3 linked regions of the Bombyx mori genome follow. The protein of the gene in region 1 binds, or shares a complex with, the protein of each later gene. Links are inferred from orthologs where the notes say so. Each region holds a gene or a part of one and is shown on either strand. Other genes may lie near its edges. The genes, in order: mitochondrial import inner membrane translocase subunit Tim21, mitochondrial import inner membrane translocase subunit TIM50-C and small integral membrane protein 20.

What was found.
Region 2: mitochondrial import inner membrane translocase subunit Tim21 (region 1) and mitochondrial import inner membrane translocase subunit TIM50-C share a complex: the UniProt entries of both Homo sapiens proteins name them as parts of the TIM23 complex. The link is inferred for Bombyx mori from reciprocal best matches to the Homo sapiens genes TIMM21 and TIMM50.
Region 3: mitochondrial import inner membrane translocase subunit Tim21 (region 1) and small integral membrane protein 20 share a complex: the UniProt entries of both Homo sapiens proteins name them as parts of the MITRAC (mitochondrial translation regulation assembly intermediate of cytochrome c oxidase complex) complex. The link is inferred for Bombyx mori from reciprocal best matches to the Homo sapiens genes TIMM21 and SMIM20.

What each region holds. Positions count from the first base shown.
Region 1 is NC_085110.1:12,601,768-12,605,160, reverse strand, and holds mitochondrial import inner membrane translocase subunit Tim21, read left to right. Parts: upstream 1-1,314; 5' UTR 1,315-1,746; coding exon 1,747-2,094; intron 2,095-2,312; coding exon 2,313-2,495; intron 2,496-2,668; coding exon 2,669-2,815; 3' UTR 2,816-2,882; downstream 2,883-3,393. Other genes in the region: transmembrane protein 231, read right to left, coding at 3,199-3,393. UniProt on the Homo sapiens protein: Participates in the translocation of transit peptide-containing proteins across the mitochondrial inner membrane.
Region 2 is NC_085127.1:1,725,299-1,729,610, reverse strand, and holds the start of mitochondrial import inner membrane translocase subunit TIM50-C, read right to left. Parts: upstream 2,903-4,312; 5' UTR 2,763-2,902; coding exon 2,624-2,762; intron 2,259-2,623; coding exon 2,081-2,258; intron 1,222-2,080; coding exon 1,050-1,221; intron 722-1,049; coding exon 588-721; intron 1-587. UniProt on the Homo sapiens protein: Essential component of the TIM23 complex, a complex that mediates the translocation of transit peptide-containing proteins across the mitochondrial inner membrane. Has some phosphatase activity in vitro; however such activity may not be relevant in vivo.
Region 3 is NC_085120.1:2,850,768-2,853,734, forward strand, and holds small integral membrane protein 20, read right to left. Parts: upstream 1,603-2,967; 5' UTR 1,422-1,602; coding exon 1,307-1,421; intron 1,221-1,306; coding exon 1,164-1,220; intron 665-1,163; coding exon 612-664; 3' UTR 520-611; downstream 1-519.

The sequences.
Region 1 (3,393 bases):
ATTCAAAATTAGAGAATTTTAAAACATTCACCACTTTCGCTATTCGGTATCTCGGTTATGGGAAAAAGGTTGTAAGGCTACAACGAGCTCAATTTACGTTGTATATCAGAATAACGTGGTATTTTAATTAACAATTGATAGGTTATAGTTTCCGGTGCATCGTACAATACATTGAAAAATAATAAAAGTAGTAGAGTAATTGAAATTATGACAAAGTAATTACAGTACATTAATAAATTATGCAACCAGCTGTAACAATAAACCTAAAACTAAAAACCTTACAAAATAATAATTACAATAATAATTGCCATAATCGGCAATCTATTTTTATATAGCGCTTTTAAAAAATTGTATTTTTAATACCTTTTTTGAAAAATATTGTGTAATTAATAATAACTTAATACGTGATTCGCTACAATACAAACAGCTACTAGACTTAACATGTCCGCGGAACTAAACAGCTTCAAACAGCTACTAGACTTAATATGTCCGCGGAACTAAACAGCTACAAACTACAAACAGCTACTAGACTTAACATGTTCGTGGAACTAAACAGTTCCGCGAACATGTTTACTGGAACTAGTTCCGACACTCAAAAGAACGATGTCATGTTCAATCCAGTTCCGAACATGATTAGCGCACGTCTACAACGGACTAAGACAAAAAACTTAATTGCAATGTTCAAGTTCAAACCAGTGATCTAAAATGATTTTAATCATAGATTATACACTTCTCTGATTGAAATAAAAACAGATTTTGACATTTACAGCGGTTTTTTTTAAGGAATTTTTGGACCTGGTAACTAAGATCTTTAAGTCATGTCTTATTATTATTAAAATTCTTATTTTATGAAAAATGATAATATGGAGTGAAATGAAATGAAATGAAGATTAATTTGAAACATTAATCAACTGGGATTAAATTAAATGAAATGAGATGATATGGGATGATATATAATCTCAGTAAAATGGTGGTCATTTACTGTGACTTTTTCAATGGACTTTTTGGAAGATTCCCACATTTATGCACTTTCACAGATACTAAACAGCTATTAAGTACACATTGAAACCTGAAGAAACACTAAATAGACAAAATAAAACAAATCACACAACTTCACTCTTCGCGTTCCCGCCAAAAAGTCTATTAATATTATAAATTAGTTACCTACTACATATAGAGTGGCTAATCGAAGAGTTTTCTCTATGTTATTGGATATATCCATTTATAAATAGAGAATGGTTTTACTTTTTTAAATTGATGCTTCTTCAGATTTTAACGAGCAACATTAGTGGCTTATAGGCTTTGTAGTATCGGTGAAAAAGCACAAATATAGAAAAATTAAATCGATTTGCTTAACATAGCTTTTTCCGAAAAGTCCAATGACGTTTCTACCGTTCAGTAAAATACTGAGTATTTTATTTTATCTCATCTGAACTCCTTTAAATTCTATTTCATTTCTTTTAAAATTTTTACTTAAGTAGTGTAATATTTTATATTTTTTATTGTTTTTAACATTTTCTTTTTCGTGTAATAAAAGTGGCTGTTTCGCTAAGTTTCATTTGCCTGACTAATTAACAAATAAGATAGTTTGATTGATAGCAATGATAGCTACGTAAACTTCAAAATTAAGTAAATAACTAAGGTTATTTTTATCAACTTTATAGGAAATTTTTGACGATGAAATAACAATAAGGAGGTTGAGTTTTTTTTAACCATTCTGTTAAATAGCACACTTAAAAGTGAACGATGACTTTAATATCTAAATTTTTACCGCTTTTACGGAACGGTAGCACCACTGAAAAGATTCCTGCCATATTACAAACTAAATTTAGAACTAATACCCGTTACTTCTCTTCTGAAAAAGAAAGTGGTTTGACTAAATCCAAAAGCAAAGAAAGTGCTTCCCATGTATCTACAGATGTAAGACCCTTAGGAGAAAAAATCAAAGAAACTACAAAAACTGTTTCTTACACCGGCGTAATACTTCTCGGTGTCGGAGTCACAGGTGTGATTTTCTTTTACGTTTTTCGAGAACTGTTCTCAAGTAACAGTCCGAACAGCATTTACTCAGAAGCTCTTGAGAAGTGCAAACAGGTAAATTACCTTGTGTGAAAGAAATCTTGTTTACATTATGATAAATTTACAGATTATTTAATAAACAAGGTCAAATTTTTCTATATCATTAATCATTAGCATTGCATAATGCAGAATGCAGTACAGTAGTCAGTATTAAAGTAAGTAATGAACAGGGGAAACAAACACTATTTAAAGTATTGTTTACCAAGTATTTATTAAATTATTGTCGATTGCAGGATCCTAGAGTAGAAGATGCTCTTGGTGCACCAATAAAAGGTTATGGAGAAGAAACAACTAGGAGAAGACGTACCCATGTCAGTCATGCAGTATATGAAAAAGATGGAGTGAAACATATGAGAATGAGATTCTATATTAAAGGGATAAGAAATAAAGGTGTTGTTGAACTTGATATGAAACAAGTAAGTTCTGTTTAAATAGAAATGTGTTTAACAACTTAAAAGTTCAAATAACACCATACATCTGAATAATTTGTATACACCTCATCAATTTCTTATAATCTCTGTTTAAAATTTTCTATTTTAATAAATTCATTTAAAATCTTTCCAATTCACCAGTACACTTGTTTTTTCAGAATGATTATGGAAACTATATGTGCAGATATTTGCTGGTACAACTTGATGACTACAGTGGAAAAACATTTATAATTGAGGACAACCGAGCTGAATTAGATAATACCAAACCTGATATCGCATTTCCAACCTTAACTCTCACTCAGTGATATAAAATTAACTATGTAACATGTAAATAGTAAAGTAGATATCGAATAAATGATTAGCAAAATAAAATTGTTTCGTTTCATATTATTATGTAAAGTTTTAGTTTAAAAAATAATAAATATAGTGAGCACTTTCATATTGAAATCTTTTAAATATATAGAATACTATACCTTCTTCTGACACCATAAGAATAGTTTTGGAATATGAATCTTATTAATTAAATTCTTTGAGCCAATGAAACTTAATGCTTATAATATCATTTTATTGCAAACATTAAAACATGTTTATCCTTATTAATAATTAAAGTGAATTTTACAGTGAAGACTAGAAATTGGCACAAATCAATTATTTCGCAGTACAATTTTATAGATCTTACATAAGTTCGTCATTCAAATGTTTTCCAAGATTGTACTTTCCATGACATGAGAAGTCGATTGGTAAATATAAATTCCTTAACTTTATTGAAGAACCAATGGAATATCACTACAAAAGAGAGATATTGAGGCCAAGCCCACTTAAACTCTTCTAGTATACTAGGAGTGTATCTTATTTGCATCTCTGGAATTCTTAGATGAACTTG
Region 2 (4,312 bases), on another chromosome or scaffold:
TCTACATCACCACGAAGCTCTACAAAGCTCAGTCAAAACCAACTTCATTGTGTATGAGTTTACTTGGAAACAAAATTAACTACGAATTAATCATAGATCATATAATTTGGTGACCATTCACCATAAGATGCACTTTAAACTCAACCTCCGTGGATCATAAAGTAACCTATTTGTGTGATTGGATCATCAACAATACTGCTGCCAAAAAAAGGCCATCATCGACCACAAAATACGAGGTCAACATCTCAATTGTCTGTCCTCAAACCGGACCGCGTGATTGCTTCGCTGTAAGAATAGGCAGCACAGTCGTAGCCGTGGTGGCAAATGTCGGTCAGTTGGCTCAGTGCGGCGCAGTAGTACTCAGAGAACGTTGCCGTCCATTCTCCTTGGAATCTTCACTTCTTTTGACACCCACGAGAACAGAGAGTGAGGTGCTGCTCTAGGCCAACACCAAAAGCAATGAATAATGTATTCTTTACCAAAATTAATGATTAAAGAATCATTTTAAATAAATTAAGACCCCCTTTAATTAATTCTTAAAGTATTGTTGTTGTCCATGCCATGTTCATGGCAGGGATAGTACTGACCTCCAGCCCGTTTGGTAAGACCAATCAGGATGCACCAGGACATCTGTGAATTCTAAGACTAGAGTGTATGTAGGCTGGTACGGTGGAGGCAAAGGGTCTGGAAGTAATTTCTCTCTTGATGGCTCCTTTATCATCTATAATAACAAAATATTCTGTTTCTATGAGTTTTACAATATCTCCAATCCCATATTCCTTAGAATGTAACAATATAAAATCTAAACCTCAACCATAGGCCAATAGTGGCCTCTTTGAATTCCAATTAAAACTGCATAATATGATCTGTGATAGGATATTAGGCAAATATTTTTGCACTAAAAACGTTTTTAGTGCAAAAGAATTTTATAATGTTCTGGTGTTATTTTAACTATCATCATTTTAATATTTGACTACCAATTGTTTCAAATTAAGTGCTCAAATTAAATGCATATATCAATAATGCATAAATAAAATTATTTTTATTACCTTTTCATAAAATGTGAGTTCTTTCCAGGAACGTCTCAGGTATTGAAAGACAATGGGAAGATGTGAAAATTCATCCTCTATTATTTGACCCTCATCATCCCGTCGGGGTGAGCCCATCTCTATGACAAGGCAGGTCGCTGCTACTGTGAGACCACCACCAAAAACTGCAAAACTAAACATTTAACATTATTTTTATTTTATTCTGTTTCACTTTAAATTCCAAAGTTGATTGGAAGCTTTGTTTTTATTTATGTATAGGAAATATATACAGAGGGGTAAAAGGTTATTTGGTCTAAGCGACATTATGCTTAATACGCGACCTTTATCTTTGTAATTAAAGGTACATTTTATTTGGTATTAGTATTAACAGTTCAATGTTTTTAATAGAACTTTAATTCAGTTTACTCTATTCAAATAGCTGAAGATATTTATTCATATTTTTTCCAAGTTTTAAGCTTTACATGGCTCTCCTGTAAAGTTACAAAAATGTTGCTTAAATCTAATAACATTTCCCCCCTCTATATGTACTGTTATTGATACTTACATACATACACAGGACAGACTAAGAGGTACATTTCTGAGTCAAAGAGCATGTTGCAAGTGCAAAAATAATCAGTCAATGGCATTGAAATAACTTTCATTGAGACTATGTTTAGTACCTATAGACTATATCGAGAAGCCATAGTTGATGCATATCTAGCTCCTCTTATTGTGAAGATGAAAATTAAAGTCAGTAAAATATCAGATCTCAAGATACCTTTCTATACTATTCTAATTTCTTTGTCCTAAAAAACATTAAATATTTTTATAAATAGTTAGACGGTAGGTATGTTTGTATGTATTAGTGAAATGTTAATAAATAACGCCTAATAATACACCACATAAATATAAAACACCCTTCATTTTTCGTTATATATCTGAAGAGCTGGTTGAAAATTAAGAAATAATAAAATAAGAGATAAACTGCATCTTATTCAAGTGGTTCAAATAAGTTTAGGAGCTTGTGAAGAATTTGGTGTTAACTACATTACCCTAATTTCATTCTTCTCCAACTTTTTTCATTTTCTTCAGTTTTCTCTTTGTTTTCTTGCTCAAAACGTTCTTGTTCTTTTTTAATCTGCTGTGCATCAACCTGTGTCTGTGGGGCTTGCGGGAAGAACCTCCCTAAGATATCTACTTTTTCAGGTTTATCATCTTTACTTCTATCATCTGTAAATTTGTATTAACAATAAGAAAGCATTTTATTTATCAAAGTTATATTATTACTTATTTATTTTCAAAGTACATATTATAAGGCAATGTAGAATTCTATTTGTTTTATAGGTGACAGAAGCTGAATAAATATAAAACGGATTTTGACAAACATGTAATGCTTTTGTAAATAGCTAAAAAAACATTTTCTACACTGATTTGACTTGTGTAGTATTGTCAACAAAGCTATGATGTTAGTGGGTTCAATTTAATAATGACGTAAAATTGTTCATCCAACATATTTGTTTATTGTAAATACATGAAAAAATCAATGTAATAAAAAGTCGTACTGAATTTATGAACTATGGGAAATGAAAACTAACCTAAATTTTGATTTGAATAAAATTTTGGCGAATTCGCTGCTATTATCCAAATGTTTTGTCTTGAGTGGCATTTTGTCTCTAGCTTTAAAGATTTACAACACGCGGTTTTTGTCAGAAATAATAATTTCCTGAAATACATTTCAATGTAATAAAAAAATCCGCATTGAGAAACTTCACTAACACACAACCGAGCAAATAAAACTAAACAGTAGATTAGTGTATAATCTATGCAGCAGATCACATCACACTACTCAAGGAGACTTTTTGGCGGGAACACGAGGAGTGAAGTTGTGTGATTTGTTTTATTTTGTCTATTTAGTGTTTCTTCGGGTTTAAATGTGTAATAATGGTGGTTTATTAACTGTTTAATATCTGTGAAAGTGCACAAATGTGGGAAAATGAAACAAAGCCGCTGGACGTAACTTCTCGGGATCCTCCAAAAAGTCCACTGAAAAAATCTTAGTAAATGACCACCATTTTACTGAGATTATATTTCATCTCATATCATCTCATTTATTTCATCCCAGTTGATTAATATCTCAAATTAATCATCTTCATTTCATTTCACACTATGATATCATTTTTCATAAAAATATGAATATACATTAAAATAAGACATGACTTAAAGATCTCAGTTACCAGGTCATCAAATCCCTTAAAAAAACATTACTCAAGGACTTTTTGGCGGGTACGCGAGGAGTGAAGTTGTGTGATTTGTTTTATTTTGTTTATTTAGTGTTTCTTCAGGTTTAAATGTGTAATAACGTTGGTTTATTAACTATTTTATATCTGTAAAAGTGCACAAATGTGGGAAAATGAAACGAAGCCGCTGGACGTAACTTCTCGGGATCCTCCCAAAAATTCCACTGAAAAAATCTCAGTAAATGACCACCATTTTGCTGAGATTATACTTCATCTCATGTCATTTCATTTCGTTTTCATTTCACTTCATGCTGTTTCAACTTCATTTCATTTCAAAATATCATTTTCATATAAAAAAGTTACGTATCATTAAAATTAAAATAAGACTTGGCCTAAAAGTCTTAGTTACCAGGTCATAAAATCCCTTAAAAAAAAAACATTACTCTAAGAGACTTTTTGGCGGGAACGCGAGGAGTGAAGTTGTGTGATTTGTTTTATTTTGTCTATTTAGTGTTTCTTGAGGTTTAAATGTGTAATAACGGTGGCTTATTAAGTGTTTAATATCTGTGAAAGTGCAGAAATGTGGGAAAATGAAACAAAGCCGCTGGACGTAGCTTCTCGAGATCCTCCAAAAAGTCCACTGAAAAAAAAAATGTGAGCCGTCACGGGACGCCTGGCAGATGTGAAACTTCGACATTATGTTGTAAAAGTAATATGCAGAAAAGAACAGATTGTGACAGGAACTAAATATGTCATAATGATAAAATAAAATGTTACGAAAAAATAATTTGTTTTCAAGTAAAACACAGGTTATGTGTACTGTAGTAAACAAAAAATGACACTGTATACACTACAGAGTATACACTATAGGTATCCGAGCTCAGTGTAGCGAGAGAGATGGCTTAACGCCGGATCGAGTGGGAGAGAATCGCACAGTCGATTGCGCATGGCGACGTGTCGCCACACCATACACACTACTGCATATAGACACTATATATATATCATCATATAGCGTGGCGACGCGTCGCTACGGCATGCGTCGCCACG
Region 3 (2,967 bases), on another chromosome or scaffold:
TCACCACTCGACATGGTTTCAAAAGGTACAACTAGAATGTAAGTAACGATGCATCCATAGACCAAATTAATATGAGGCAGCTTGCTTATATTTCCACAATATTTACTTACGGCGATATTGAACTATTCGTGTACGATATTCGCTTACAGTATAGTTTATGGAAAAAATCACATGTAAATATCTCGACGGATATGACAAAATTAAATATTTTTATATAAAAGTGCTCCACTGTTTTATAAGGCTTTAAAGTATTTGAAATTCGGCGAATATATCGCGCTATTTGCAATTTCGAAATTAAATATCTATACACTGTGTTATGTTTTATTACTTTTCTAAATATACACCAAATCGGATGATTAACATCTAGATAGATTCTTCCTCAATCTAGACAGATAGATGAGATCCATTGTACAATACAATTAAGATCTATGGGATCTAGATATCATCTGCCGAAGAAGCAGAATCTACAACATACTACAAGAATCGAAAGTACAAAAATAATAATGAAAAATCTTAAAAGATATATTAACTCAATTTTATTGTTTGAAAGCTTTTTATTTACAATACTAATTAATAAAGTCAATCTGACAACTACCTAAGGTGAATTTGTATCAATCATGCTCCGGTTTCTTTCGTTCGAATGGATCGGACCATACTTTCATATCTGTAAAGACAGAGTACATTTTCAATGTTTTTCATCTTCTGTTTTCTTTTTTAGATTGGATGAGCTCACAGCCCACCTGGTGTTAATTGGTTACCGGAGCCAATAGACATCTACAACATAAACGCTGCTACCCACCTCTGTCAACCATGTCAAATATAACTAACTATACCACTAAGTTTATCATTCACAACTTTGCAGTTACTGGTTTAGTTGTTTATATATGTGATTGGAGCTCACATGCACAATATATGCTTAAAAATCACTATAAGCTTATTCTTTTTTATAAAGTTAGTTACCACTTTAATTACTATACAATTGAGATAAACAACTAAGTCCCACAGTTAATTACAACGTCCATGTGTTATCTGAGGGTTCCGGTAAGCACTCACCACCAGTTGGGTCGTGAGCTCATTCATCCATCTATACAATAAATACAAAGTTTCTAATTATATTTCAACTCTATTACTAAAGTTTCCATGGCAATAGCTTTTAAACTTACTTCCAGGTTGGATGTCTTCTTGTCGTATGTTTTTTCTAGCTTCTTTTTGAATCTGTTCTGAAATTAAATTGAACAACAGCCAAGTTAAGAAACAAAGTAGTGAAAAATGAAGAAATCGTAATACCAGTAATTTATTATCTTACTGTATTCAGAGACATCGATCATCGGACTTATTGCTATCGGATAAAGAGTTAATCCTAATAAACCAATAAAACCGCCGATAAAAGCTGTGTAACGCCAACCACGAAATATAGCCATTTCAAAATTTTATTTTCATGAAATGTGTACAGACATTCAGAATTATGAGTTTTATCGATTTTGATAATTTGTATTTCGACTATAACCATATAACAAATAATATCCTGAACTTATATTATTGATAACCAGCTGATTTTCAAATGACATTTTTTTTTTTTATTATTGTCCACTAAGAGTAGTAAAAGAAATATTTCTCATACAGCCTAAGCTAAATTTTTTGGAGTGGGAGATAAATAATGTTACCTAAACCAAAAATTATTTTATTAGAATTATGTAAAATATTACAAATTTACTGGAACTTCAATTGATTTTTCTAAAGAACTGGGAAAGTATCCGCAACAATTCCACAACTTTCGGGTGATCAGTCCGATTGCCCGTGTCATTGATATTGATATGAGTTTCTGTATCATCCTCCACGTCGCTTATTTTTTTCTTTTGCGCTCTAGTAATTACTGTTAACAATACTGAGTTAATACATTTTAATTCGTCCGAGTTTGTTGGTAACCTAGACAATGCATCCGATACGCAGTTATCTTTTCCTTTAATTTAAGTGATATTAAAATTGTATTGTTCTAATGTTAATCTATGTTTTAGCAATCTACTTGACGGATTTTTATTCCAAACAAATATATTACATAACGGTTTATGGTCAGTTATAATTGTGATTTTTTTACCAAAAAGATATGGCCTAAAGTACTTTATTCCCCACAATTGTATGCATTTCGACAAATACCAAACAACCATTAAGAAAATACTAGTTTACTGAAATAAGGTCTAAAACGCCTCGCTATTTTCCTTACAGTAGTCTAAGACATACCTAGACTTCTTTATCGTACGCATTAACTTCAATTTAGTGTAGGAAAGAGATCAAAATATATTTAGGGTGTAATAATACATATAACAAAATGTCCGCTGTGAACGTATCAAATACCACGCTACAATAACACGCTCTGATCAATAAATAGTACCTCAGGATGTCGCAAATTTACCAGAGACCAGTCCAGATACATCCTATTTCCTATGAATAGCTGTGTTTAAGAGGCTTGTATAGTCCAGTCATTAAAAGGGGTTGATCTCGGAAAATCGACCTACCCAGTATATTACCACATGAAAACCTGTATTTTGGCATCCTAAAACTATTCTACAAATTCACATATAATTGGATAGCCGCAAGTTTTAAAATCAGGGATCAAGGGTACAAAGTCGATTTTTTTCACATTTTTTGCAAATATATCGTTTTCTATGGGTTTTACGCTGTTTGTATTTATTGTTAATATTGTAGAGAATTAAATTCTCCACAACTTTTCTATTTGACATTTTTTTAAACTCTGTAATCAGAATATGAACATTAGAATTATTTTGTAATATTGTAATGGTAGCACCTAAGTTCAAAGTTGCTAATTTTAAGTTTGGCGCTTGGCAACTCTCTCTTCCGTTTCAGCCATATAGGCCTGTGCATGGCAAGTTTTTATTTTATTAATTTAAATTACATTAAATTAATAAAATAAGAATAAACGCAAATATTCAATATACGAGCCTGTATTTT